Sus scrofa: one gene and its partners. The protein of the gene in region 6 purifies or fractionates together with the protein of the main gene of each other region. This does not show direct contact. Links are inferred from orthologs where the notes say so. Each region holds a gene or a part of one and is shown on either strand. Other genes may lie near its edges.

What was found.
Region 1: the proteins of PRPF8 (region 6) and RNPS1 purify together in Homo sapiens (affinity purification with mass spectrometry; 3 studies listed by BioGRID and IntAct, with this or other methods). This does not show direct contact. The link is inferred for Sus scrofa from reciprocal best matches to the Homo sapiens genes PRPF8 and RNPS1.
Region 2: the proteins of PRPF8 (region 6) and RUVBL2 purify together in Homo sapiens (affinity purification with mass spectrometry; 3 studies listed by BioGRID and IntAct, with this or other methods). This does not show direct contact. The link is inferred for Sus scrofa from reciprocal best matches to the Homo sapiens genes PRPF8 and RUVBL2.
Region 3: the proteins of PRPF8 (region 6) and DHX9 fractionate together in Homo sapiens (co-fractionation; 3 studies listed by BioGRID, with this or other methods). This does not show direct contact. The link is inferred for Sus scrofa from reciprocal best matches to the Homo sapiens genes PRPF8 and DHX9.
Region 4: the proteins of PRPF8 (region 6) and SF3A2 purify together in Homo sapiens (affinity purification with mass spectrometry; 3 studies listed by BioGRID and IntAct, with this or other methods). This does not show direct contact. The link is inferred for Sus scrofa from reciprocal best matches to the Homo sapiens genes PRPF8 and SF3A2.
Region 5: the proteins of PRPF8 (region 6) and SMU1 purify together in Homo sapiens (affinity purification with mass spectrometry; 3 studies listed by BioGRID, with this or other methods). This does not show direct contact. The link is inferred for Sus scrofa from reciprocal best matches to the Homo sapiens genes PRPF8 and SMU1.
Region 7: the proteins of PRPF8 (region 6) and BCAS2 purify together in Homo sapiens (affinity purification with mass spectrometry; 3 studies listed by BioGRID and IntAct, with this or other methods). This does not show direct contact. The link is inferred for Sus scrofa from reciprocal best matches to the Homo sapiens genes PRPF8 and BCAS2.

What each region holds. Positions count from the first base shown.
Region 1 is NC_010445.4:39,742,058-39,745,557, reverse strand, and holds part of RNPS1 (RNA-binding protein with serine-rich domain 1), read right to left. Parts: intron 3,053-3,500; 5' UTR 2,936-3,052; coding exon 2,865-2,935; intron 2,621-2,864; coding exon 2,465-2,620; intron 1,270-2,464; coding exon 1,078-1,269; intron 879-1,077; coding exon 776-878; intron 481-775; coding exon 327-480; intron 1-326. UniProt on the Homo sapiens protein: Part of pre- and post-splicing multiprotein mRNP complexes. Auxiliary component of the splicing-dependent multiprotein exon junction complex (EJC) deposited at splice junction on mRNAs.
Region 2 is NC_010448.4:54,253,504-54,257,003, reverse strand, and holds part of RUVBL2 (ruvB-like 2), read right to left. Parts: intron 3,255-3,500; exon of another isoform or gene 2,971-3,254; coding exon 2,916-2,970; intron 1,856-2,915; coding exon 1,800-1,855; intron 1,485-1,799; coding exon 1,343-1,484; intron 43-1,342; coding exon 1-42. UniProt on the Homo sapiens protein: Possesses single-stranded DNA-stimulated ATPase and ATP-dependent DNA helicase (5' to 3') activity; hexamerization is thought to be critical for ATP hydrolysis and adjacent subunits in the ring-like structure contribute to the ATPase activity.
Region 3 is NC_010451.4:124,140,600-124,144,728, reverse strand, and holds the start of DHX9 (ATP-dependent RNA helicase A), read right to left. Parts: upstream 2,801-4,129; 5' UTR 2,643-2,800; intron 1-2,642. UniProt on the Homo sapiens protein: Multifunctional ATP-dependent nucleic acid helicase that unwinds DNA and RNA in a 3' to 5' direction and that plays important roles in many processes, such as DNA replication, transcriptional activation, post-transcriptional RNA regulation, mRNA translation and RNA-mediated gene silencing.
Region 4 is NC_010444.4:76,403,662-76,407,681, reverse strand, and holds the start of SF3A2 (splicing factor 3A subunit 2), read right to left. Parts: upstream 2,801-4,020; 5' UTR 2,314-2,800; intron 1-2,313. Other genes in the region: PLEKHJ1 (pleckstrin homology domain-containing family J member 1), read left to right, coding at 2,975-3,068, 3,152-3,219, 3,379-3,445. UniProt on the Homo sapiens protein: Component of the 17S U2 SnRNP complex of the spliceosome, a large ribonucleoprotein complex that removes introns from transcribed pre-mRNAs.
Region 5 is NC_010452.4:33,398,006-33,402,182, reverse strand, and holds the start of SMU1 (WD40 repeat-containing protein SMU1), read right to left. Parts: upstream 2,801-4,177; 5' UTR 2,764-2,800; coding exon 2,738-2,763; intron 1-2,737. UniProt on the Homo sapiens protein: Involved in pre-mRNA splicing as a component of the spliceosome. Regulates alternative splicing of the HSPG2 pre-mRNA. Required for normal accumulation of IK.
Region 6 is NC_010454.4:47,881,787-47,885,286, forward strand, and holds part of PRPF8 (pre-mRNA-processing-splicing factor 8), read right to left. Parts: coding exon 3,474-3,500; intron 3,327-3,473; coding exon 3,200-3,326; intron 3,082-3,199; coding exon 2,889-3,081; intron 2,380-2,888; coding exon 2,192-2,379; intron 2,063-2,191; coding exon 1,824-2,062; intron 1,601-1,823; coding exon 1,454-1,600; intron 1,267-1,453; coding exon 1,056-1,266; intron 393-1,055; coding exon 276-392; intron 270-275; exon of another isoform or gene 1-269. UniProt on the Homo sapiens protein: Plays a role in pre-mRNA splicing as core component of precatalytic, catalytic and postcatalytic spliceosomal complexes, both of the predominant U2-type spliceosome and the minor U12-type spliceosome.
Region 7 is NC_010446.5:105,995,558-105,999,057, forward strand, and holds part of BCAS2 (pre-mRNA-splicing factor SPF27), read left to right. Parts: intron 1-459; coding exon 460-530; intron 531-1,476; coding exon 1,477-1,638; intron 1,639-3,500. UniProt on the Homo sapiens protein: Required for pre-mRNA splicing as component of the activated spliceosome. Component of the PRP19-CDC5L complex that forms an integral part of the spliceosome and is required for activating pre-mRNA splicing.

The DNA of each region.
Region 1 (3,500 bases), on a different chromosome or scaffold from region 6:
CATGCTTCATTACAGTCATGATGTTTATACTGAACAAAACAAAAACCTTCATTTCACCCATATGCTCTTAAGGTATTGAAATGTTCTTAAAAGGCTACTGTAGTCATTATTTCATGAATTTTTCCCCAAAAGAATAACACTCCATAAAATATGTTTCTGGTAAACACAAACCCACGAGGGAGAACTGGAATTTTGAAAGAGCCCCAGGGAGTCTCACATTCAGCCAGGCTGGACGTCGGTTCTCACCACACTAGGTGCGACAGGTCCTGGTCTTGGACGGGGGACAGAGAAGGCAGGTCAGAGGAGAGCTGACAGGGCTTACTCACCTCCGTCCATGTGCTTCAGTGCCTTCTCGGCTTCATCTGGATTCTCGAACTCCACGTAGGCGTAGCCCTTCGAGAGATGAGGGTGCATCCTTTCCACAGGCATGTCGATCATCTTAATCTTGCCGTAGGTGGAGAATATCTCCATGATGTGATCCTGGGAGAAAGAAGGTCACTCGAGGGCCCACCCGCCAGGCACTGTGAGTCAGAGAAGGCGCCACAGTGACCACAGCCTCGCACCCGGGGGTAAACCTCCCAGAGGCACGTCACGTCTGTATCCCATCCAAGGGAATCAACCAGCGCTGCCTGAGTCACGCGCCATGCAGCCAGCCCCTCGAAACGCGACAGGTCAAGTTCCCCTTCTGGCAGAGGCCCCCTTCTCCAGTTTCCCACTTAAAAACTTTGCAAGTAACACAGCCCACTGTCCACTGGACAGAAGCAGGATTCCTCACCTTGGTCACGTTCCTGGTGAGCCTCCCGATGTGCACTTTGGTGGGTTTAGGGGAAGGGCTCCGCCGCTTCCTCTCCTTTTCATCTCTTTTGGGCGGTTTGGACCTGATGGAAAAAATAAAACATCAGCAACAATCTGTGACATCAAGCTTTTAGTGGGGATGTTAACGGCTCGTGTGACAGCGTTCTACCGGTTCATGCACATTGTCCCTGGCCCAGACTTCTGATTACTAAGGCAAGAAGATTCCTTTTTTGCTCTACTTTAATCATTCACAAGCTCCAGGCTGGAAGGGAGCTAGCTCACTTGGAACGGGAACGCCGCCTGTTGTCGTGTCTGCGCCGAGAAGGACTCGGAGAGCCAGAGGAACTGCTGGAGCTGGAGCTGCGGGATGTGCTGGAACTTCCTGAGCGGCTCGATGCCGAAGACGAGCTGGAGCCACTGCTGGAGCCCGTGCTGGTGCTGGAGCCTGAGCTGGAGGTAGAGCTGGACCGAGACCTGAGGGCGAGAGGGAGGGGCCCCGACAACGGTGGTGGAAGAGCAAGAGCAACTCCCCACAGCACCGTCAAGCAGGTCTGGCTCTGGAGAGGAGACCTCTGCCCATGTATTTTCAAGCGTCCCCGGAGGGGAAACATTGACACTCCCCTTCCCCGCCCTCAGCAGGGACAGAAAACAGCATGCGGATTGTGCAGTGACAGGAAAGGAAGAGCGAGCCCCTCTCTACCCACACAGAAGCCACGCCTGTAAAGGAGGCCGGCAAGTCAGAAGCACCAATTCAGCCTGGAAACCAGCTACTGACTCTGGCTGGGTTTCAATGGATGGAAAAGACTCCCTAGGCTGGGGAATCTGATCACAACCCCAAATCAAAAGCACTTGAGGGAGTTCCCGTCATGGCGCGGTGGTTAACGAATCTGACTAGGAACCATGAGGTTGCAGGTTCAGTCCCTGCCCTTGCTCAGTGGGTTAGCGATCCGGCGTTGCCTTGAGCTGTGGTGTAGGTTGCAGACGCGGCTCGGATCCCGCGTTGCTGTGGCTCTGGCGTAGGCCAGCGGCTGCAGCTCCAACTGGACGCCTAGCCTGGGAACCTCCACATGCCGCGGGAGCGGCCCAAGAAATAGCAACAACAACAACAACAAAAGACAAAAAGACAAAAAAAAAAAAGCACTTGAGAGATGAACCATGCCCCTAGTCACCCCATTCCCTAACATCGCCAAGAAAGGAAAAAAAAAAAAAAAAAAAATCCCAACACCATTTTCTATATATAATCAGGTTTGCCACAAATCAGGGTCTCCATTAATAACCCGAGTGTCCTCTCTAACATAATTAACGCACTCTAAGTGCGGCGGAGGGAGAAGGATGGACTGGGAGCTTGGGGTCAGTAGATGCAAACTATGACATTTACAATGGACAGACAATAAGGTCTTACTGGACAGCACAGGGAACCATATCCAGCCTCTTGGGAGAGACCAGGATGGAAAATGATACCAGAAAGGCAATACATATATACATATATGGGACTGGGTCGCTTTGCTGTACAGCAAAAATTGGCACACCACTGTAAATCAACTAGACTTTAAGGAAAAAAAAAAAAAAGAGAGAAAGAGACAAGAGTGCCCTCTGGGCTCTTTGGGCAGGAAGAGAGACACGGCTGCGGAAGCGAGGCCCTGGCAGTGCTCTAACCCACCAGCCCCACCTGGTGCTGCTGCTACCACTGGAAGCGCTGCGCCTCTTCCGAGTTTTATCCCTGCCACGGTCCTTCTCGCTCGACTCCTTGGTGGCCCCTTTATCTTTAGAGCGGTCCTTGGACTTTTCCTCAGAGCGGTCTTTGCGTTTGGTAGGAGAAGGAGCCCTGGACGGTGAGGAAGAGCGTGAGACTGCAGGCCCTGGTGACTGGACCCTGAAGCAACAGCACCACCCGAAAGGGGATCCAAAGGGCTACAGAAATCCCAGGCAATCACAGAGCACAATGATCTGTGGCTTAGGACACTTGCATGTAAAATGCAAGACATTTCCAAGTTCCCCCTTTCTCACGGTCCCTAGCAACGAGTACCCCCAAAGTAGCACTAGAAAAATCTGACAGAAGGAAGGATTACCTAGTGCTGGACTTTTTATTATTTTCTTTGACTCCTAGCAAGCTCTTCTTTTTCACTCCTGATAAATCCATTCTCCCCTTCTGAGGTGTTCAAAGCAGCAATGGCGGCCTCACTTATCTGAACTCTCACTTCTAACTTGAGTCTGAGAAACGATCCCTAATCGATTGCAATTTACGCCAAAGTGCAGCCTAATAACAAGACAAAAGGATTTACAGGGTTAATTGGCAACAAATCGACTTGGCGGTCAAAAGCCAGGCACAGCAGAAGGCAGCAAGGAACACAGTAAGCAGCAAGCATCTACAGAGCCAGGAACAACACCTCTGGGATGGCCGGGCACCATTTCCTTGGGGAGGGTCCCACTCCCGCAGGAGGCACTGGTGGAACCTCAGCTTGTGGTTTCTCAAGGACACGGTGGTGGTGTCCTGTTATTTCACAGGTGGTACAATACCCGTTTTTCTTTCACAAGTTTGCTGTCGAGCCCTACAGTCCTTTAAAATACCACAGCATCACATTTGCATGCAGAACAGAGAAAATCCACTGACAGGAGTAGATCTCGTCTCATTGCTATGACCTTTGTAAAATACAGTGTGTATGATATGACTGGAAACAAAAGCCCTTTCAAAAGTACCAACATCA
Region 2 (3,500 bases), on a different chromosome or scaffold from region 6:
TGGCCGTGAACGGGGTGTCAGGGCCCAGGGCCTGTGCCATGCCTGCGGGGGGTGGGGCAGCCTGGGTCAGTGGGGCCGCCCAGGCCCCAGGAACCAAACAGCCACTCCGGGGCGAGCCAGCTCCTCCTTCCTCAGGCAGGAAGAAAGGAGAGGGGCTGGGTGCTGCGTGCAGACAGGGAGATGGAAAGAAAGCGAGGCCAGCGGGCAGGGGCGGGAGGGCTCGAGCCCCGAGCTGCCCAGAGCGCAAGCACCACGACTCTGGCATCTGGCCAGTCCTGCCTCCCAGCCTCTCAGGGCTTAGGGTTAATGATCAGGGCCTAGAGGCCAAGGGGCTAGAAGAGAAGGTAATCGAGTCAAACGGCCTAGGTTCGAATCCCAGCGTCACGACTTAGCACCAAGTGATCTTTTTATTTTTTCCATTTTCCTTCTTTTTTTTTTTTTTGTTTTTAGAGTTAACACAATATATTTATTTCAAGTGCCATTTACGCATATCACTGGCAGCAACAATCCTAATGACACCTGAAATATTTCTTTAAAGCACTAACAGTTACAAAGAATGGGTGCCGTTACGAAATTGTGCAACAGTGAAACTGTGGAAATATTAAAACACTGACTGACCAACAGCAGTATTTTTTTTCCATTTTCTTTCTTTTCTTTTCTTTTTTTTTAGGGCTGCACCCACGGCATATGGAGGTTTCCAGGCTCAGGGTGGAATCGGAGCTGTAGCTGCCGGCCTAAACCACAGCCACAGCCACACGGTATCTGAGCCGTGTCTGCAACCTACACCACAGCTCACGGCAACGCCGGATCCTTAACCCACTGAGTGAGGCTAGGGATGAAACCTGCATCCTCACAGACGCTATGTCAGGTTCTTAACCTGTTGAGCCACAAGGGGAACTCCTCAAAGACATTTTAATGTTTCACTCACCTGGGCAGCAGAGTGTGGCTATTAAGTTCTAGTCAATAAAGTATGAGCAGCCGTGTGTGGGAGGCCTAAGACAGCAGCTCAAAGGGAGCCACCTCCAGGAGGCACACCCTCATTGCAATTCCTCCTTCTCCTTCTATTTGGAGTATGGGTGCGAAGGCTGGCGTGTAGGCCACCTTCTTGCAACATGAGGTGACCCCGACATGCAACGCATGTTGAGGCAGGAAGGCAGGAGCTTCCATGGGACTGCTCGACAAGCCCGAGCTGGCCTATGTTCCGAATCTTCCAGTAAGAGAAGGAACCCTTAGGGGTGAAGCTGCTGCCGTCTTGTTGAATGTGGCTGAACCGGACCTTGACCTTCACGGGAGGGACCACCTGGCGAGACCAGGCGCGCTCTCCCCCCGAGAGGTCCCTTACCCATGGCGATGGCCGTCTTCCCGGTGCCTGGCTGGCCAGCAATGAGGACCGCCCGGCCGGCGATCTTCCCTTCGCGGATCATCTCCAGCACCACGCCGGCTGCTCGCCGGGCCGCCAGCTGGCCCACCATGCCCTGGGAAGCCTGGCGGGGAGGTGACAGAGCACATCAGGGGACTTTCTTGCTACAGGTCTACCCCTGCATTTCTACAGCCTCCAGGCTAGTGAGCTCAAAGAAGACGCTGGTGGCTGAGACTTCAGAAAAAAGCCAAAACAGCCTTTTCCACCCCCATTGTTTTTTTTTTTGAAAGACCAAAATAAAACTCCACGCGTGGGGAAATTTTACAGACATGCAGCCAAAGGTCTAGAAGGTCAGAACACAGTCCCCACAACCCCTGGGGTCCCCTCCACCCCAGGCCCCCAGGGAGCAGCCTTCCCACCACGGCCCCCTGGGCTCTACCTGCCGTGGCTCCAAGGCATCGTCGAGCCCCAGCCCCCGGATGTGGGAGTGAGCGCCTGTGTGCGGGGAAGGAAGCAGAGGCGGTTACCGGCCAGCTCAACTGGTTACAGGCCAGCTCGCTGGTGGCCATGTGTGGCCTGAGGGGAGGGGCGCCCCTACCCAGTGCTGGTGTCCGCCTTGGCCACGGTCCCCTCTCACCCCCCAACACACACGTCCCCACCTCACTGGGATGATGGCCAGACACGGTCAATGCTCAGTAAACAGAGTGGCTCCTAGGCTACATGGTGGCCTGAGGGACCTCCCAAGTTCTAATCATACTTCACGGGACCTGGGACTTGGAGAAACACAAATCGCAGCTATTATTATCAGCCTGGAGCCCTGCTGGGGCTCAGTAATCACCCCAGGCCCTTATTACTACCTCTCCTGGAAGCTGTGGATGAATGAGTGAACGAACAGGAATGAAGGAATGAATGAACGAATGAATGAGTGGTCTCCTCCCTGCAGGGCAGGCTCTCTGCAAAGGCTACACCCTGCTGAACCCTCTACACCCCCACTTCCTGCTCCCGGGGAGCTGGGACCAGGGGCTTGATTGCGTCACTGAGTCCTGGTCCCTTCAGCTAAAAATGGGATGACGGTGGCAGGAGGAACACTGCAGGGCTACGCCAAGGATTCAAAGGATGCAAACTCCCGTGTTCAGTGGTGACCTGTGGAGCCTCTGGCCTGCCAGGACCTGTGCCGGGGACACTGCTAGGAAGGAGCCAGGTCCCTGCCCTCTCAGAGCTGAAGCCCCAGCGTATGCTGGCTGGATGGGACATTCGCTGCGGGGCCAACCCCTGGAAGATCTCAGCAAAAACCCCCTTTCACGATTTCCAAGCAGGATGCTGGGGCACCCGGGAGGCCCATCAGGGCAGCCCAGCCAGCAGTGGTAGCTTGGGGTTGGGGCCTGACATGGTTCCCCCCCACCTCTGAGTCATCTGGGACTAAGGCCTCCCTCCTTACGGTGGGGTGGGGGAGTGTGCAGGCTGCCCCCCTCCAAGGGTCCCAGGTAGACTGGCTCTGGCAGGGGGCAGGGGGCAGGCAGGGGCTAGATCCTGTCCCTGACCCACGCTTACTCACCGATACGCTCGATCCTCGTCACATCGCGGATTTCCGGGACCTTGGTTGTGGCTGTCTGGTGTCAGAGGAAGAGGCGTCAGTCGAGCTTTTGCGGTCCCAGCTTTCAGCAACCCCTCCTCTGTCCCCCTGCCCACCCCACACGCAACAGTTCTTTCCTCTCCTCCCTGAAGGCAGGAGTTGTCGCCCATGAAGGCTGGTGGGTTGATCCCATTACACAGTCAAGCTCAAGCGGCCAGAGACTGCGTCTGTCTTGTTCATAGCCCTGCTCCCAGGGCCGGGCACACACTTGGTGCATGGAAATTATTTGCTGAAGGAAGAAGTCCGCCTTGTCCCCCAGAGCTGCAAGAACATACACAGAGCACAGGGCAGGCATCAACCTGGACATGTTCTGGCCCCTGTTGATCTTCCAGTGCCACCTCCCCACTGCTTGTACCTCACTGTCCCAGCTCTGTCACTAGACCTTTGCAGGTCCCTGGGTCCAGCCTGCTCTCTCCTCTACCCTGACTGAATCGGATCAAGCATCACTCATTAAGGGAGGTGCTCCCTGACCTCAGCCCCTGCTTGGCTAGTTTAGGGTCTCTGGAT
Region 3 (4,129 bases), on a different chromosome or scaffold from region 6:
ATGTATAAATCAAGACTGGAAAAGAAATATCCTCCCAAATGGTTATCTTTAGATATCTACAAGCGATTTTCGTCTTTTCTTTAAAGACATTTTATGTAATGTCCTACTTTTTACAATATTCGCTTTATGTGTTTTAACTAATTTAATCCTCACAACAGTAGGTAACACTATAAACTATAGCTTCTACTTTACAGTTTTTTTACGAGCAAGACACTAGACATAGAAAGTTTCAGTAACTTTTTCAAGTTACTCACTGTAGAAGGCCTAAATTCAAAACCAAACCAATATATTAAGAAATAGTCATCTGAAAAAGAATGGGTGCATTTTTTTTCATGCATCACTGAATCATTCTGTCGTACAGCAGAAATTATCAAATTGTAAATCAACTATACTCCTTTAAAACTTAATTAAAAAAAAAAAAAAGTTCCTGCTGTGGTCACTGGGATCACAGGTTCAATCCCTGGCCCAGCACCGTGGGTGGATTAAGAATCCGGCACTGTAGGCACTGCCGCAGCTGTGCCCTAGGTCAAAACTAGGGCACGGATATGATCCCTGGCCTGGGAACTCCAGATACCTCATGGCAGCCTAAATAAATAAATAAATGGAGAAACAGCCTTCCATCATTTTGTATATAAATCCAAGAGTTTATCCTCATTTGGATTATGTCTCCTAGAAGACCATCTGCACAGCAATAGGCAATGTTATTAAGTCCAAATATATTCTGTGCTAAATCTTTCCTTTAGGCCTTGTTACTCATTAAATTTGAGGCTATTACATTTTCCTTAAGTGCAACCTATCATAGTGATTGGCATTCTCCCTCTACATCAGTTTATAGCAAAAGATACGGATCCTGAGTCTAAATTACACGCAGAGGGATCTGAGACCAAATTCAGAACTGGAGAAAATATGCTAAGAATTGTTTGCTGTGATGTGGGAAGAAACCCCATTAAGCCTCTGTCTTCCGTTAATGTTTAGTGCATTTTGTTAGCACCTACATCTAGTTTCATCAAACTGAACCCTAGTACAAAAAGGCTCTTCTGTAGTCACAGGTTAACCCTGGGGATAACCGATTCATGAAAAGTTGTGGAAAACTGAAGATGTCTACCTACAAATTCCAACCATGAATAATTAATTTTAAAAACAAGCCCTCAGGGTGAATGGAAAACATGAAATAAGGACTATACTATCAAATTCCTTCCTCCCTAGTCTTATCTAACGCCATCATATTAAATATTAACTATAGACTAATGCTATCCAAATATACATTGAAAGTTTAGTCTTTTCTCTTTAAAAGCTCCAAAATCAAGTTCATCCATCTGCAGCACTTATGTATCCACCTGAATGCTAACATGGCATCACAGTTAAAACACAATTTTAAATTTCCTCCCTAAACCTGTTCCTCTTCCCTCTAATCCCAGTGTTCCCACCTCCTTAGGCGGCACAACCATCCACCAAATTACTCCTATCACCCATTTGGGACTTATCCAGTCCCTCAACATCCTCCATAACCATCCGTTGCAGTCTTTATTATGTACCAATCAGTATCCGTTAAGGAGCATTGCAGCAACTACTTCACTTAACCCATACACGACACTGTATAGCTAAGCATTATTACAGGTAAGTAAACTGAGAGAAAGAATAATTTGCCTCAACAGACAGAGCTTCTAATTGGGGGACCCAAAATTCCAACCCAGGTAGTCCTGATCTACTCTTGACCTAAGGCTCACTTTCGCCTCCAAACATGATTCCAATCTGTTCGCTTCCCTCCCCTCTCCCACTACTGCAACAGCTGGAGTTCAGCAACAAGGTCCTAAATAATTCCCATTTCCTTTGTAACCACGCTAAAATCCAATCTTCTTTTAAATTCTTCTCACCACATTCCAGTCACGTGGCCTTCTTTCAGTTTCTTTCTAATCCCTGCCAGTAAACACTAACTAATCCCCCTCCGCCTGGGGAGTTCTGCTTTTCTTCCACATCTTAGTAGTCGATAATCTCCACCCTTTGGGCGAGACGTCGGCTCAAATGTCTGCCTCCTCCGAAAAGCCTTCCCTCGCGCCACCCTTCCGGAAATGGCGCCCTTCCTTTACACTAAATCCTCCAAGAGCTTTTTTACCGAAACCAGCACTTGTTTCCACACGGCTCCCCACCCCCACCACGACCCCAACCTCTGAGAGAAAAGAGCAAGGACTGTGCCTAGCCTGTTTTCTGCTCTATCCGCAGAGGCCGCAGGGTACCACCCGCTATTTTCGGCACGCAGGCCTGCGTGGACGAACGAAGGGCCCTAAGCGTGGGCGGCGGTTTGGCGGGCTTAGCTCCCCCCACCCCGGGCCGATTCAGTCCCTTTCACTCTACGGCGACAGCGCCACCGCCAAGCGCAGGCTGGAAGAGGAAGTGGGGTTTGGCCGCTCCGGAGACGAAACTAGGCCTGCCTCCGCGAATAACTGGGGGCCAAATGGCGGCCTCAGGCAGCGCAAGCGCGGAGCGGCGTCGCAAGCAGCACGCAACCCGCAATCCGGGAACCCAGCGAGGCGGCTCTCCCCTCCCCCACCCGCCACCGCCGCCAGCTCCAGGCAACAAAGACCCGCTGCAGAACCCCGGGGCCTACGCCGTCCCAACCGGTAACAAAGACGTCTTCCCCTTACCGGAGTCCGATTCTTTGTGCCCGAGAGCACAGCTCTCTCAGGAACGTCCCTGGCTCGGGCCTTAGCGACGGAGACCAGACGAGCGCACCACCACTCGCACCGAGGCGGCGGCGAAATGGCTCCGACCGCTACGCTGTGGAGGCGGAGTCAGTGTGCTACGCATGCGCAGAAGGGGAGCGTGGGGCCAAGGGCGCCCGGAAGAGGGGCGGAGCTGCCGCAACCACGCGACGGGCAGCGTCCAGTCGCCTGGGAGATCCGCCGCGCCCTAGAGCGGCGCCGGGGCGGAGCTTCCTCCTTTGGCGCGAGGCCTCCTCAGGAGGGGCCTGCCGCATGTTTTTGGAGAATGTTTTGCACCTTCTGTCATAGGGACCTGTGGTAGATGAGGTGCCCCACAAAGACACAACTGGAAATCCTAGGTGGTAGCTTTATAGGGTTGTTGGTGATTAAATGAGATGGCTTAAAAAATAGAATAAAATAAATGAGATGGCTTGCGAAGGCGGCTTAGGGCAGTACCCAGCACACAATAGTTGTTCAGTAGGTATTGTAGTGATTCGGCTCCTCGAAGGTTAACATCCCCTAAATAGAAGTAAGCTCGGTGAAGGCGGGAACCCTGCCTGGCCAGCTCAGGCCGCTAAATGAAGTACTTGGCACATCAAGTGCTCAGTAATAACTAGTTTAATAAATAGAAACTGTAAAGTTCTTTTTGCTCAAATTGGATAACCTTTTGTATTCATAGTCTTCGGAGTAATTTATATCCTTAACTATTATAGTAGTCACTGCTAAATTTTTGAACTCCAGTGCTTCTCACGGAGGCAACAATACAAAATATTTCAAGCTGGGGTTGTTCCAGAGAAGCCAGACCAGTAAAGTATCAGGCCCCATCGTACCTAACATCCTTATTTTTCACCTCTTCCCTTTTTTTCCCCTAACTCTTCTAGCTCACTGTGATTAATCCCTTTAAAACTCTGTTTCTTCTACAACCAGAGTAACACAGATTAAAACATTTAAGTTAAACAGAGGAACGTATTTACTCATTAACTTATTTTCTCCATGTTTGCTCTCTTCAACTAGGAATAAAATCATCAGGGAAATACCTTAATCCTTTGTTTCCTTATCTCTCTCAGGATGCTTAAATCAGGAAGTTTTCATGATAAGGGAAACCCAACTAACATAAATGGATTGCAAATGTTTTGTAGTAGATAATGTACACACCAAAAACATCAACAAATTAAGTATAAAGAATATTTTCTGAGGTCGATCTTTGGCTCCCAAAGATTACAGAGAATTTTATTACTGAGTTGTTTATTAATTTAGGCCTTGCATCTGGGACCTTGAGTTGCCAGGGGATTGGATGCCAGCAATGGCATTTACCTTTGTAGGTTGTCCTTGGCAACTAGTACCTTCTAAGATCTCCCTTAACATTTGCAGATGAAGCATCAAAACATTCTCCATGAGTTCCCTGGTGGTTCAGCAGGTTAAGGATCCAG
Region 4 (4,020 bases), on a different chromosome or scaffold from region 6:
CAACAAAAACCAGTGGAACCTCAATGAAGGAGAATAATATTCTTCAAGATCATGGGAGATGTTACTGCACCATGAAACCTGAATAGCATGCCAAGAGTGAGTTTGGTGAATCAAAACCACGCAGACCCTTTAAAAGAAAAGACATGATAATCCAAACAAAAAATTGAACACAAGTGCTCTAAGGTCAGCCAAATAAAGCTTTCACACAAAACAGAAAAATGAAAAACAACCAACAACAAAACAAAAGGAGGCAAAGCAAGAAACCCTGGACCAAAAACAGAACCAAATGTGGAGAATATTATCAAAGGAATGACATAAGAACTCCAAAGTTAAAAAAGGTCCTAACACAGACACAAACAAAAAGACTCTCAAGATCACGAAATTTTACAACACTAAAAAAAACTTTAAATTTCTACTAGACAGGAAAAAAATGAGAACTGAAATGAGAAATCAGGACAGGATCAGATCCCTCAGAACAGCACTTAATGTAGAAAACATGCTATAATTCCACAGTTCCCACTGAGGGTTTCTTTTTTTGGGGGGGGTGGGGCTGCACCTGCATATGGAAGTTCAGAGGCCAAGGAGTCGAGGTGGAACTGCAGCTGCCAGCCTACATCACAGCAAAGGGGGATCTGAGCTGCATCTCTGACCTACGCAGTAGCTAGCGGCATTGCTAGATCATTAACCCACTTCATAGATATTAGGCGGGTTAACCCTCTGTGCCACAATGGGGACTTCCCTACTGTGGATTTTTAATCCAGAATTTTACTCCCAACTTTTTTATTTTTGTTTTTTAAGGGTCGAACCTACAGCATATGGAGGGTCCCAGGCTAGGGGTTGAATTGGAGCTGAGGCCGCTGGCCTACACCACAGCCAGGGCACCACCAGATCTGAGCTACATCTGCTACCTATGCCACAGCTCACAACAGCACCAGACACTTAACCCACTGAGCGAGGCCAGGGATCGAACCTGCATCCTCATGGATGCTAGTCAGGTTTGTTTCAGCTGAGACATGATGGGAACTCCTACTTCCAAACTTCTGACTGTGGGGGTAAATTAAAGCCATTTTCAGTTAACTGAGAACTCACAATAAATAAATGAGCTGACCTCTTCAAAAACTACTCCTTATGCTCTGATAAAAGGAACGAAAAAGATGGTCAGACTGAAAACTAAAGCCAGACCAGGGTAACCTGGACAGAAGGTTCTAGGACAACCACTCAGAAGCAAAGTGGGGGCTCCAGTCCCAAAAGCAGGATTAGGCCAGCTTTAAGAGGGAAATTTCCATGGGAGAAAGGAAAAAAGAAATCCATCTGTGGGAGTTCCCATTGTGTTAAGGACCAACATTGTCTCTGTGAAGATGGTTGTGTTCACTCCCTGGCCTCAATCAATGGGTTAAGGATCCGGCATTGCATCAAGCTGCCATACAGGCTGCAGCTGCAGCTGCCACTCGACCCCGGCCCAGGAATTTCCACGTGCTGCAGGTGCGGCCATAAAAAAAAAGAAAAAAAGAAAGAAAAAGCCATCCATTTGTTTAAATCTGTGGGAAAACACAACTAATCAGTGTGTGAAGTAATGACACGTTGAGAAAGAAACAAGCAAAACAAAACAAACAAACAAAAAAAACAGGCAAAGAAAATCAGGCTAACAGGAAAAGAAGAAATTAATTAGCTTTGGAGGACGATAGGAAAAACAGCGTAAGAAAAACAATACAGCTGAATACATTGCTTGCCTGAACAGCGAATACTATTTTCAGCCCTAAAAAATAAAACACGATCTGACAAAACTCACGATATCCACATTCAGAATATGGAGGGCGAGGTTGGAGAGGGTGGGTGGCAGATAGAAATGAAACCTCAAACCCGGCGCAGCCAAAAAGAATAACGTTATTTACAAAGCTGCTCTTGGTAGTTCTGAGCTGACAAAAGAACAGAAAAAAGAAGCGATCGGGCACCTAGTGTGACAGGTGGGGAAATCATTTAACTTTGTGGCACCGCTTGCCAAACGGGCCTGGCTAACGGGCCCTGGTGGCCTCGGGTGCGGTGCCAGGAGTTTCGCCGTCACCCCCACCCGTTACAGAAACCAGGTGACTCCCAGACCACATGGCCAGCATACCAACGGGCGACTGCCGGGGCACACGGAAAGCGCCTCGGGAGCTGCCGCCCTACCGGACCGGCATTTATGGCCCGAGCTCCGAGAGGGCGGGGAGCGGGCACCCACTCTCAGCCTGCGCCCCCGCCGACCGCCCCTCGCCCTCTCCCCTCCAGGGAACTCCCGGGGGTCTCCGCCCTAGCCCCTCGCCGCTCCTGACTCGCCTGCGCGGCCTCACTGCCGTAGTCTATTCAGACTCCACCGTAACCGCCTATTCTGCCGCCACAGCCGCCGCGACAATTTCGACAGGCGCACGCGCGCCAAGGGCTAAGGAAGCACTTCCGAGGGCAGGCGAGGCGGGGCCTTCCGTGTGCGCATGCCCAGCCCGCCTAGCGGCGCGGGGCAGACGTTCCGGATGCTGGAGGTGAGTGGCGAGCCGGGAGTGTGGGCCGGAAGCCGAAGTGCGCGTGCGCGTCGGCCCCCACCCTCTCTCGGTGGGCCTAATTCGCGGGGCCACCTCTCGCGGGATAGCGAGTTGCGTCTCGCCCCACCTCCACTTCGCATGCTCCAGGTCGCTTCAGTTAAGGGCGCCATGGGTCGTGGCGGGCCACCTTATTGCATGGTTGTATATGGCAACCGTCCACCTTGCTCACTATCCCGTGCGCCCCGTGAGGGTTCACGTTCTATCCAGGCGGCTCCCAGCACTGTACTGACACGCACCAGTGATTGACAGGCTGAGCGGCCGCAGAACGCGCAGGCGTAGTTGCCCGGGCTGCGCTTCCGGAACGGTGCGGTGGGACTCTTTTGGCGCCGGCAACGGCGCGAGTGGGGACGGCGGCCGGTAAGGCGCGGTTTTCGTTCCGCGTTCCGGGTCCCGGCGGCGCCATGCGCTTTAACGAGAAGGAGCTGCAGGCGCTCTCCCGGCAGCCGGCCGAGATGGCGGCTGAGCTGGGCATGAGGGGCCCGAAAAAAGGAAGCGGTGAGCGGCCCGGGGCGCCCAAGCGGGCGGCAGGCGGGGCTGGGCAGCCACCGAACTCGCGCGAGCCTTCCTTGTTCCCGTAGTGGTGAAGCGGAGACTGGTGAAGCTGGTGGTCAACTTCCTCTTCTACTTCCGGACGGACGAGGCAGAGGTTAGGCGCTGGGGAGGGCGGGGTTGGGGGTAGGGGGTCGGGGCGAGGGCGTGGGGGGGGACCGGAGCCAGGGGGCGGGGCCGGGGTCTGAGGCGTGGGACGGGCTTGGGTGGCTGGAGGGTTCCCCGCACCGCCCCTTACGCGTCCATCTGCCCTCAGCCCGTCGGAGCCCTGCTGCTGGAACACTGCAGAGTCACCCAGGAAGAGCCCAGCGGCTTCTCCATCAGTGAGTGCGAACTGCGGCCAAGCTGCCCGGCCCCGCCCCGGCCCCTCTTGCATCTCTACCGACAAAGTCCATTGTCCCGAGCAGCCCCACTCGCCCTGGCTCCTCCCCGTGGGGCCCAGGCAGAGCTTGCAGCGAGGAGGGCGGGAGGCAAGAAGTCTGACATCAGAGTGGGCGCAGAGTTGTGTATTTCTGAAGAATCATCTCTGTCTCACGCCTCTTCTCTCAGCTTCTGGGGCGTCTTTGGCTTTGGTTTTTTTTTTTTTTTTTTTTTTTTTGTCTTTTTAGGGCCGCACCTCAGGTATGTGGAGGTTCCCAGGCTAGGGATCGAATGGGAGCTACAGCTGCTGGGTTACGCCACAGATCTGAGAAGCCTCTGTGACCTACACCACAATTCACCGCAATGCCGGGTCCTTAACCTGCTGAGCGAGGCCAGGAATTGAACCCACAACCTCATGGTTCCTAGTCGGATTCCTTTCCACTGGGTCGTGACAGAAACTCCAACCCTTGGCATTTCTTATCTTGTAGAAGCGTCACCCCATCTTCGTCTCCGTTTTCACAGGATACTGTTCTCAGGG
Region 5 (4,177 bases), on a different chromosome or scaffold from region 6:
CCAGGAGAGAAACAATAATCAAAAAGTAACAACTGATGTTTATTATGTGTTTACTATATACCAGGGACTATTCTAAGCATTTTGGATTCATTTACCCTCAAAACAACCCTATGAGGGAGTTCCTGCTGTGGTGCAGTGGATTAAGAATACAACTGCAGGAGTTCCAGCATGGCTCAGAGGAATCGAACCCAACTAGTATTCATGAGGATGCAGGTTAGATCTCTGGCCTCAATCAGTGGGTGGGAGATCTGGCGTTGCTGTGACTATGGTGTAGGTCACAGACTTGGCGCAGATCCGGCATGGCTGTGGCTGTGGTGTAGGCTGGTGGCTACAGCTCCAATTTGACCCTAGCATGGGAACTTCCATATGCCTCAGGTTCCACCCTAAAAAGGAAAAAAAAAAAAAAAAAGAATCCAACTGCAGCAGCTCAGGTTGTTTCAGCAGCACTGGCCTGGTGCAGTGGGTTAAAGGATCCAGCGTTGCCACAGCTGCAGCTCGGATTCAATCCCCGGCCCAGGAATGTCCATATGTCACAGGTACTGCCTTTAAAAAAACAAACAAACAAACAAACCCAGAGTTCCCGTCATGGCACAGTGGAAACGAATCCGGGAGGTTGCAGGTTCGATCCCTGGCCTTGCTCAGTGGGTTAATGATCCGGCGTTGCCGTGAGCTGTGGTGTAGATCGCAGATGCAGCTCGGATCTGGTGTTGCTGTGGCTGTGGTATAGGCTGGCAGCTGTAGCTCCAATTAGACCCCTAGCCTGGGAACCTCCAAATGCTGCTGCTGTTGGGGCCCTAAAAGCACAAAAGGCAAAAAACAAAACAAAAACCTATAAAGATGGCATTACTCTTATGTCCATTTTACGTGAGGATGTGACCAAGTAACAGAGGTAAATGGAAAAAAAAAAAGATTCAAACTGGCAGTGTGGCAGGTAGCATCATCCCAGACAGGAAAGCAAACACCTTTTTTTTTTTTTTTTTTATCATTTTTGGCGGCCCTGAGCCATATGGAGTTTGTAGATCAGGGATCAGATCGGAGCTGCAGCTGTGACCTATGGCAATGGGATCCTTTAACCCACTGTGATGGAGACTGAACCTGTGTCCTGGTGCTGCAGAGACAATGTCAATCCTGTTGTACCACAGCGGGAACTCCCCAAATACCCTCTTAAAAACAGTTCCTGCAGGAGTTCCCTGATGGCCTAAGGATTTGGGGTTGCCACTGCTGTGGCTCGGGTTCAATCCCTGGCTTCCATAGGACACTTCCACTTACACTCCTAATATGAGACTCCATCCTTGCAAAGAACTCAAATTTGATATAACCAAAATCAAATTCACTTCCTTCAAACACAATGTAATACACAAAGAGCTAAAAGCTTTGGAGATAGGCTGGGATTTCAATCAGAGTTCTTTCACTAACTGTGACTTGCAGACAAGTCAATTAACATCTCTTTGCCTGTTTCCTCATCTGTTAAGAAAAATACCTACCCTGTAGGATTGATCAAAGGGATTGACTACAACACATAGTGTAACTAGCATAGAGAATACTTAGTAAATAGCAGCAATTACTGATCACAAAAACATGCTGCAGCCAAGGCTGGGAGGATGGTCAGTGCCCGATTTTATTCAGGCCCCAAAGGGTGGATTCCTTTCCAACTCCTGCCATAACTGTCTTCACTGTCCATCTTTGCTTTATTTTTCTCCACAACACTTACAGCCATCTGCTAAGCTATCTTACTTACTGATTTTGTCTGCTGTCTGCCTTCCCCATCACAATGTACTTTCCCTAAGAGCAAGGGTTATTGTCTGTTTCGTTCACTACTACAGTCCCAGGGGCTAGAACAAATATACACAGTAGATCTCAGTATTTGCTAAATGAATAAACCTCCCTTCCTCCTATGGCAGATCTTCAGGACAAGTCCTCTCCTTTACACTCAGGACACAAATGTTGTCTGCTGACTTAACTACTAAGCGTTGGCAAGAACAAGGTGGAGGATGGAGTCCTGGAGAAGTTTACTGAAGACTTTCTTCAATCATTCGTTAGTCCCCCTCTCTCCCAAATTTATCATTCTCCTTGCCCAATCTCCAAATTCTGTCCCTCCTTTGTGACTACAGAGCTCACACGCTAAATAAAATTCAGCGCCAGACAGAACCTGATAAAATAGTCGTTCATTCATTCTAAAAGCAATTATTGAGCCTTTACGATGGGCTGGGAATTGGGACTATAATGCAAACGAGTCCCTAGGAGCTATACAGGTTAGTAGGATGGGCAGAAAAACGGTGACGATACCAAAAGCTGTGCAGAAGAAAGCAAAGGACGGTGCACGCACAGGGAGGAAACCACCACGGTGTTCGATGGGGACGGGAAGAGATGGATGGCGTCGAGCCCAGCCCCCTTGTGCTGATAGACCGGAATCCAAATAGGATGGCTAATTTGCTCAGTTACAAGGTACAGCAGAAGTTGGCGAGGGCTAGAATTCAGGTTTTCCAGGAGTCTCCTTCCCCCAGCCCCGCGCCACCTTCCACAGGGCTTTGGGCTTCTCATCTGCTACCTCTCTGTAGGTCCACCTCCAAGGTAGCCAGATCCCAAAAGCTTCTTTATAGGAAAGGAAATGCCCCTCCGCTCCCCAGCCTCTCGGACGCCTCCCCCGAGCAGCTTCCACCACCTCCCACTCCCACCCCCGCAACCCTCTGCCTCCCGGCCCCGGCCACTTCGGTAACATTCCCACTGCAGGACTCACTCCGAGGACTCGATTTCGATCGACATGGCTCTAGCTTCCTGAGCGCAGGCCTCACTCCACTCTAAGGCCCAGCCGCGCAACGCACCAACGACACCTCCGGCGGCCCCTATACGTCACTTCCGCTCGACGTCAGACGCAGGCTCTGGGCGCGGTCTGTACGGAAGAGGGGCGTGGAGTACGTGAGGGGCGGAGCTTCAACTCTTCTGTCGAGAGTTGGAACATAGGCACCGGCTCCTATAGAATCCTTTCTTTTTCTTGGAGGGGAAGTTATCCTTAAAGGACTGGTTTTAAAATTTTTCTTTTTTGGTTTACTTTTTAATTAGTTGACTAGATTTAAAGGTATAGTTGGATTGGGAGTTCCCGCTGTGGCGCAGTGGGTTGAGAACCTGACTGCTGCAGTTCAGGTTGCTGAGGAGGCATGGGTTCAAAACTAGCGCAGAGCATAGGTTACAGCTGCGGCTCGGAATCAGTCCCTGGTTCTGGAACTTCCATACGCCATGAATGTAGCCAATAAAAAAAGAGTTGGATTTACAATACATCTCTGGGAGATTAAGACATTGGAAACCAGTGGCCCAGTTAGCAACATTTGTAGAAGAGTTCATTAAGTTTAAGTGAATAAATGAAAGATTTTAAAGCCAAAACACATTTAAATTAATCTGATTAAGTTTGGGCCTTAGGGATTTGCATATTCACTTCTTCGAAAGAGCTAGATTACTTGTAGCATTTCCAACTAAGTATTTACTTGAAAATGGTTTCACAACAGTGATGCAATTACAAGAAAAACGACGAAGGCAAATACAAATATGTAAAAGGAGATTTGCGACTTCTTTTAATAGACTTTAAGCCATACGTAATTAAATTAGCAGAGACAAGTGAAAAGTAGAGATATTAATGAATTTCATGTAGGTTATTTTTTTAAATATTTTTTTGCCATCCTTTGTAATTTTTAAAAAAATATTTGCAGCACAATGGTAAGAAATCTGTGTTGTAAAATTTGTATTTTTAAGCCATTCCCACAGCATGTGAAATTCTCAGGGCCAGGAACTGAACCCCAGGGGGATCTGTAACAGCAGTGACAACACCAGATCCTTAACCCACTGAGCCACCAGGGAACTCCTGACTTTTAATCTCTGATTGACAGCCAATGCTCAGCATCACAAACTATCCTCATCCATGTTTCCTCTGTAACAGCAGATTTGACTATGACATTTGTTACTTTATATAATCAAACTGCACTCTTTACCTAGTTAGGAAGTTTCTTCCCCCACTAAACTAGTTGCTTATGTAAATCTTCTGTATCCCAACTATATAACCCATCAATTTCCATATCATTCCCATACCCAAAGCATAAGCTTTATTACCTTGCTGATCCCTTATTAGCAATTTGATAAACTGTGACAATTGCTAAATATCAACTTGTCTAGGATATTTCATTTTTTG
Region 6 (3,500 bases):
AAAACCTAGCATTTCCCTCTCTTTTTGGCGTGACTGATGTTCCTGAGAGCATCAGTCCAGACACTCATGTGTACCATTGGTGGAACGTGAAGACAGCATTAAAAGCAAGGCTATTTTTAAAACTTTGCAAAAACTTAAAGCACACACAGTTAACAAATTGCTGCTGTACATAAAGCACGGAGACTACACTGAGCACAGCTGGCAAGAAAGGAGAGCAAAGCACAAGGATCTAAACGGGATGTGAGACGGACAGAGAACATGACTGCACTACGTACCTTGGTGAAGGTGGTGGACCCAGAGGCCATCAGAATTTGACGCACACGGTTGTGGAAGCGCTGCATTGACTCATCATCCACACGCAGGAAACACTGAGCTGTCCGCTCCTTAGTAACCTAAACCACAAGGTCAAGGTTAACTATCTCTGGAACTGCCACAGGAAGAAGAAATTTTTTGTTTTGTCTTTTTGGGGTACACCCATGGCATATGGAAGTTCCTAGGCTAGGGGTCGAAACAGAGCTGCAGCTTCTGGCCTACACCACAGCCACAGCAACGCCAGACTGAAGCCTCATCTGCAACCTACACCACAGCTCAACACTGGATCCTTAAGTCACTGATCAAGGCCAGGAATCAAATCCGCATCCTCAGAGAGACCACGTCAGGTCTCTAACCGGCAGAGTCACAGTGGGAACGCCAAGAACCAATGCTGACCATCACTAAGCCCTTACTCCCCCAACCAGGCTCATCCGACTGACACTGGAAAGGTATTTGGGAGTTCCCACTGTGGTGCAACAGGACCAGCGGCATCTCTGCAGTGCCAGGACACAGATTCAATCTCCAGCCCAGTACGGTAGGTTAAAGGATCCAGTGTTGCCACAGCAGCGCTACAGATCACAACTATGGATAAGAGCTGATCCCTGGCCTGGGAACTCCATGTGTGATGGGGCAGCCAAAAATGAAAAAAAAAAAAGGAAAAAGTGTGTGCAGTTCCTCACTCCCACCTACCGGGAGGTGGTAATGCTCCTCCCGGCTCCCCCGCCCCCTGGCCCAGGCCCTACCTCATTCTGTAGGTTCCAGACCCCGTCCTTGTGGGTGAACTCCTCATAGCTGGTGCGGCATTTTGGCAGGATGCGGCACTCAAAACCGCACATGTTGAACAGCAGGTTGGGGTTGTCCTTACTGTACACCGACACGAAGCTGTTCTCCCACTGAACTGTAGTCACTGAGCGTGGCAGACGGTTCTTGATGTCCCAGAACACTGCCCGACCCCTGCCCACAGAGAACATGGGTCACACCAGTCCCCTGGAAGGCACTTCCCTGCAAAGGCCAGACTGACGACAGCCCAACAGAGTACATCCTCCTACCCAGAAGACCACCTCCTAAAGTCCCTCTAATTGTCCTCCGGGTCCCTCAGGCTGACATCCTTCTCGCTCCCAGAGCCCCAACTTAGACTCACAAGTTAACATCATGCTTCATGAGGCGCATGCGGGCATCTCGGGGCCAGCACTTCTTGTTATTGTAGCCGACGATGTTCTCATTGTTGGGGTCAGGATGCTCCGTCAGGTAACGCTGGATTAGGTCCCGAGCCTCATCTGCCGTGAACCTGCACCAGACAATGCGCCCTGCTGAGGCCCAAGCACACTGGGATCTCATGCGACCTACAGTTCCCTAGAGGGAGGCCACCCCGCCCCTTCCCACTCAGAAGACTTCCTTCCATTTTAGAGCCCCAACCCAGCAGCAAGCCAACTAAGGCAGGACAGCCACTTCCAGAGGCTGGGCACATGCCTCAGTGCCCTGCAAGGATAAGAAACCAGGCAAGCCCTCACCTGAAAAAAATATGGATACGATCGATGTATCTGCAGAAGAGACGGATGGGGTGGGCAGCCTCAGTAGCTATGTCTTGGAAACTGAGAAAGTCGTTTGGCATCTGAGGGGGCCCAGCCATCTCACTGGCCCGGTGCAAGCCCAACACAAGCAAATCCATCACCAGGCCATAGTACTGCACGATGAACGAGGCAAACTGCAGGCCTCTGATGATCCCATACGAATTTGTATGGTTCATGTCCTAGAAAGAAAGAGGACACTCAACCACGGCAGCGTGCCAGGCTTCTCCGGGGCCCAGCCTCTTCCTTTCCCACCTCAGCAAATCCCAGCTCGGCAGGCTGGACACCCCCACCCCGACCCCGGAACACACCTTGTAGTTGATGACGACGTTGTTCTTGGCAGTCATGTAGTCAGCGATGTTGTGGTCTACGATGAGGCGCAGCAGCCTGTTCAGCAGGGTCAGGTCGATCTTCTCATACATCTTCTCAAATCGTGACTCCAGCATGACGTTGCACTCGCCCTCGCTTGTCTCCCACACGTCCTGCAGGTTATTGATGCCTGAGGAGGGGGCAAGACAGGGCTCCAGCAGGTTAGAAATTCCCTTTCAGGGAGTTCCCGTTGTGGCAAAACAGAAACAAATCCAACTAGTAACCGTGAGGCTGTGGATTCGATCCCTGGCCCTGTTCAGTGGGTTAAGGAACTGGCGTTGCTGTTAGCTGTGGTGTACATCACAGACGTGGTTCTGATCCTGCGTTGCTGTGGTGTAGGCTGGCAGCTGTAGCTCCGATTCGACCCCTAGCCTGGGAACTTCCATATGCCGCAAGTGCAGCCCTTTAAAAAAAAAAAAAGAAAGAAAGAAATTCCCTTTCAGGACCAGTGCCTACGGTAATCCGATCGCATGCCACTCCATTCATTCGCTGGCTTGCCAGGAGAGTCAGCTTTGCTCAGTTTAGCATCAATACCATTTCCTTGCTACTATGCAGCAAGAAAGTAAGCTAATTCTGCTGCCTGGATAGCAGAACTCAATGCGCCTCCCGTTCTCAGGTGCGATCCCAGAAAAGTTTTACCTTGGCACCACTTGTAAACAAGCAGAGGCGGCGGTTCTGTGTCAGCAGGCTTGATCCAGGGCGGGAAAAGGCGGCGCTTGTCAGCTTCGTACCAGAGGTACTGGTCCAGGTAGGCATCAGTGATTTTCTCCAGGGGCTCCACATCATACACTGGCACCAGGTGGCTATAGAGATCCATGAACTCAATGCCTACCTGCGAGACACAGAAGCTGGCTCACACCAACCCACCAACCACCTGAGACAACCTGCCACACTGGGTGCCAGGGATGAATCACGCAGCCAGAACAAAATGTCGAGGGCATCTCACTCACTTCTTTGAAGGCTCTCTGTGTGAGAAGGTGACGCTTGATGCGGGACAACGCCTCATGGGGGTTGTCATAAGCTTGCTCGATCAGACCCAGCTCTTCCCTCTGAGACTGGTTTAACCGGGACTTCACACTGACAAGGCAAAAGAAAAGGTGAATGGGAAAATCAAGAGGAAGCCAACCCCAGAAAGGACTGATGCTAAGCCTTCTTTCTTTGGACTCTTGATGATGCTGTCATTCTTCCCTGTCACCTCCCCATAGGAACCTGTCTACCCCTCACCTGTAAGCTTCCTTGAGCCGCTCCAAG
Region 7 (3,500 bases), on a different chromosome or scaffold from region 6:
ATGTATGTCCAGGCCATCTTCTTTCTCCCCTGCCCCCAGTGAATCCTTAGAGCCGTGGTTCTCAGCACAGCCTTCACTTTACAGACAACTGGTGAGTTTTTAAAAAAAGTTATTATAGTGTCCAGTCTCTGCCTCAGAACAATTACTCGGAGTAGGGAAGAGGAGCTACATGTGGCTGGTATTAAAATTGTTTGCTCCTGTATGATTCTACATGTGCTGCTGGCACTGAGAACCACTGATCTAGGATTAATCCTTTTCTCTATAGGCTCCTTTACATATGAAGTATGTGTGTGCCTGTGCATTGAACCCAGAGAAGACTTGGGAGAAGGGAAGTGCTCCGCTATAGTGGACAGTCATAAAGTAAATACCTAAGTAGCTTAGATCCGTTATTTGATGGTTGTTAATATAAGTTTATTGATATGATTTTGGAAATAATTCTTTCTCTAATTTATATATCAGACTGACATAATGAGAAATGAATTTGAAAGACTGGCTGCTCGACAACCAATTGAATTGCTCAGTATGAAACGGTAAGTTCTATTTCTGCATTCAGATGCCCTCAAATCATAGTTTAATTTTAAATTATTAGTCAAACTACTGTAAACTGTTAAATATGGAAAAACAATTCTTGTCTGTTTTTTATATATTTATATTTTTCTGTATAAAAGTTATAATAGTGGTTCGTGTAATCACGTGTTAATATTCAGAAATATTCTTTGCACCGTTATTTTAATACAAAAAATATTTTAAAATACCTAACAGGGAAAGAGTAAATTAAAACACAGTTCACGTTTAAGAGTTCCTAAGGGGGGATTTCCCTGGTGGTCTAGTGGTTAGGACTTGGCGCTTTCACTGCTGAGGCCAAGGTTCAATCCCTGGTCTGAGAACTGAGATCCCACATCAAGCTGCTGCAAGCTGTGGCGCCCTCTGGCCCCCTCATCCCCCAAAAAACTCAGAAATTAAAAGTTAGTTTGTAGTAATTCAGTACTGAACAGAGATTTATGAAGAGGTTATGTTGCCGGCTATATTGGCAGTATTGAAGTAGTATGAAGATAAAGACTGAGTTCCAAATGTAAAAAATTACTGTATCCCTTTACCATTTTTTTTCTCTAGAAGGAGGTGGGTAAGTGGCAGTGAGAGTGGGTGGATATAGGTATGTTTTACAAAATAACTTCATATCCTGCTTTTTTTCCCCTTAAGATATCACAAACATTTTAATGTTTTAGGTATTCTTTAGTAATGTTTAATAGCTATTATAATAATCATTTATATGAATGCACTGCAGCTTGTTTAATCAGTTCACATTGAAGTTTGTCAATTGCTTGTTTCTTAGGATAAATAGGTTTCTTATTATTGCAAGGTCTGCAACCTAAGTCTTCTGTAGTTTTCAATGTGTATAGGTCCATGATCCTGTTGGGAGGAGACAAAAGGTTTGGAAGAATAATGTGATTTTATTTCATTGTTGTTTAATTTCAGATATGAACTTCCGGCCCCTTCCTCAGGTCAAAAAAATGACATTACTGCATGGCAAGAATGTGTAAACAATTCTATGGCTCAGTTGGAGCATCAGGCAGTTCGAATTGAGAATCTGGAACTAATGTCACAGCATGGATGCAATGCCTGGAAAGTATATAATGAGTAAGAAGCTTTTTTTTTTTTTTTTTTTTAAACCCATCCCACCCATAGTCTTGCTAGGGGAAGTAGGATTAAAAATAGTATAACTGGACTTTCACTTGGATTATGTCCTAGAACTAGAATTCATATAAAAGGCTACTGCTTTGAGACCCATCTCAACATTTGAGAATACTAAAGGGACCTAAAACTAATGCATTTATTGTATAATATTGCAATAGTGAGTTCTGAGGTCTAGATTTACAAATCACAGCATGGTAGAACGTAGGGGATTGCTTATACAGTCAGCTCTCATTAGTTGCATGTTCTGCTTTATAAAGTGGCCTTGAATACTGAATTAGCAAACAATGAGCCAGTTCTCCTGGGAGAAATACATACATATGTAGATATACATATCTCTCACATAGATTATAATCTTAAATACTTTAAAGCAACTTATCATGGCAGGTTCTATATTTTCTTTATAAAAGAGAGGACAAAGTTGAGAAGTGTTAAGTAATTTACCAGAGTTGGAAATTAAACTCTTTCCTTTGGTCATGTCTGTATGGGACCTGAAACAAGAAGGCAGAGTATCACCTTGTTCCACTCTAGCTAGAAATGTTCATGTCCAGCAACTCAGTTTTTTTGCTGCTCTGAGCATGAATGATCACAAAACACTGCAAGTGTTGATTTTAGGTTACAGAAAAATTTGAATAAATAGGCAAAAATTCACAGATACAGAATCTGCAAATAATGAGACCTGACTGTAAGTAGAGAATTAACACCAGCAAAAAAATCCCAAAACAAGCCACTGAGTTCCTATTTCTGTTCCATATAATTAGCTTTAGGTTTTGTTATTTATTTAGGGTTCAGTTCCTATTTGTAAGTCAGTGCTTAGATGATCTCCATGGCCCCTTTGGGCCCTAAAATCCCAAGTCTCTATTAACAGTTTAAGGAGAAAAGGCCGTTGAACCTCATGAGTGTGCATAAAACTGTTAAAGAGTATGATTCCTGAAACTGTAAAGCAAAATTGCAAAATGATAAAAACCTTTTCCCAAATTTTCAGAATTGTGTTTAAATTTCTGTGGCCATATAGAGATTTGTGGGCAAAATCCAGCATTTAAGAAGCTACAGAACAATTCACTTTCTACTGTGAATATATTACAAGCAGAATAAAGGGGAAATGGGGCTGGAAGGATTAAGAAATATAAAAGAGCAGATCATTCCTAAAAATGCTTGTATTTTACTAAGTGGAAAAATGTCCTCTTTATCCTCAAGAAGCTTTATCTAGTTGAGGAGACAATATATTCTGTGGCAGATAACCACTAGTTCATTTTGGTGATACGGGGGCAACTGCTGCATTGCATGTTGTGGTCCATAAAGTACTGAGATCCAAAGAAGGGACATTTAGATCCCACATAAAAGTGATTTCATGCAGTATTTGTCTGACTTATTTCACTAACCTTCATATTCTGTAGAGCCATCCACATCACTGCCTATGGCAGTATTTCATTCTTTTTCCTGGCTAATACTCCACTGTATGTGTATATGCATAGCACATCTTAATCCTGTCACCTGAAAGGCATTTGGGTTGCTTCTATATCTTGCCTGTTGTAAATAGTGCTGCTATGAACATTGGGGTGCATGCATCTTTTTGAATTTAGAGTTTTCATTTTTTCCAGATAATTGCACAGCAATGGAATTGCTGTATCACACTTTTTTTAGTTTTTTAAGGAACCTCCATACTGTTTTCCAAAGTAGCTGGACCAATTTACATTCCCACCAACAGTGCACAAGCGTTCCAGAAAAGAGTGAGCACATCCCAGGAATGGAGGAGGGCATAGATTTCAGGGTGGGCCTGGAATATTACATTGAAGAGAACATTGCTT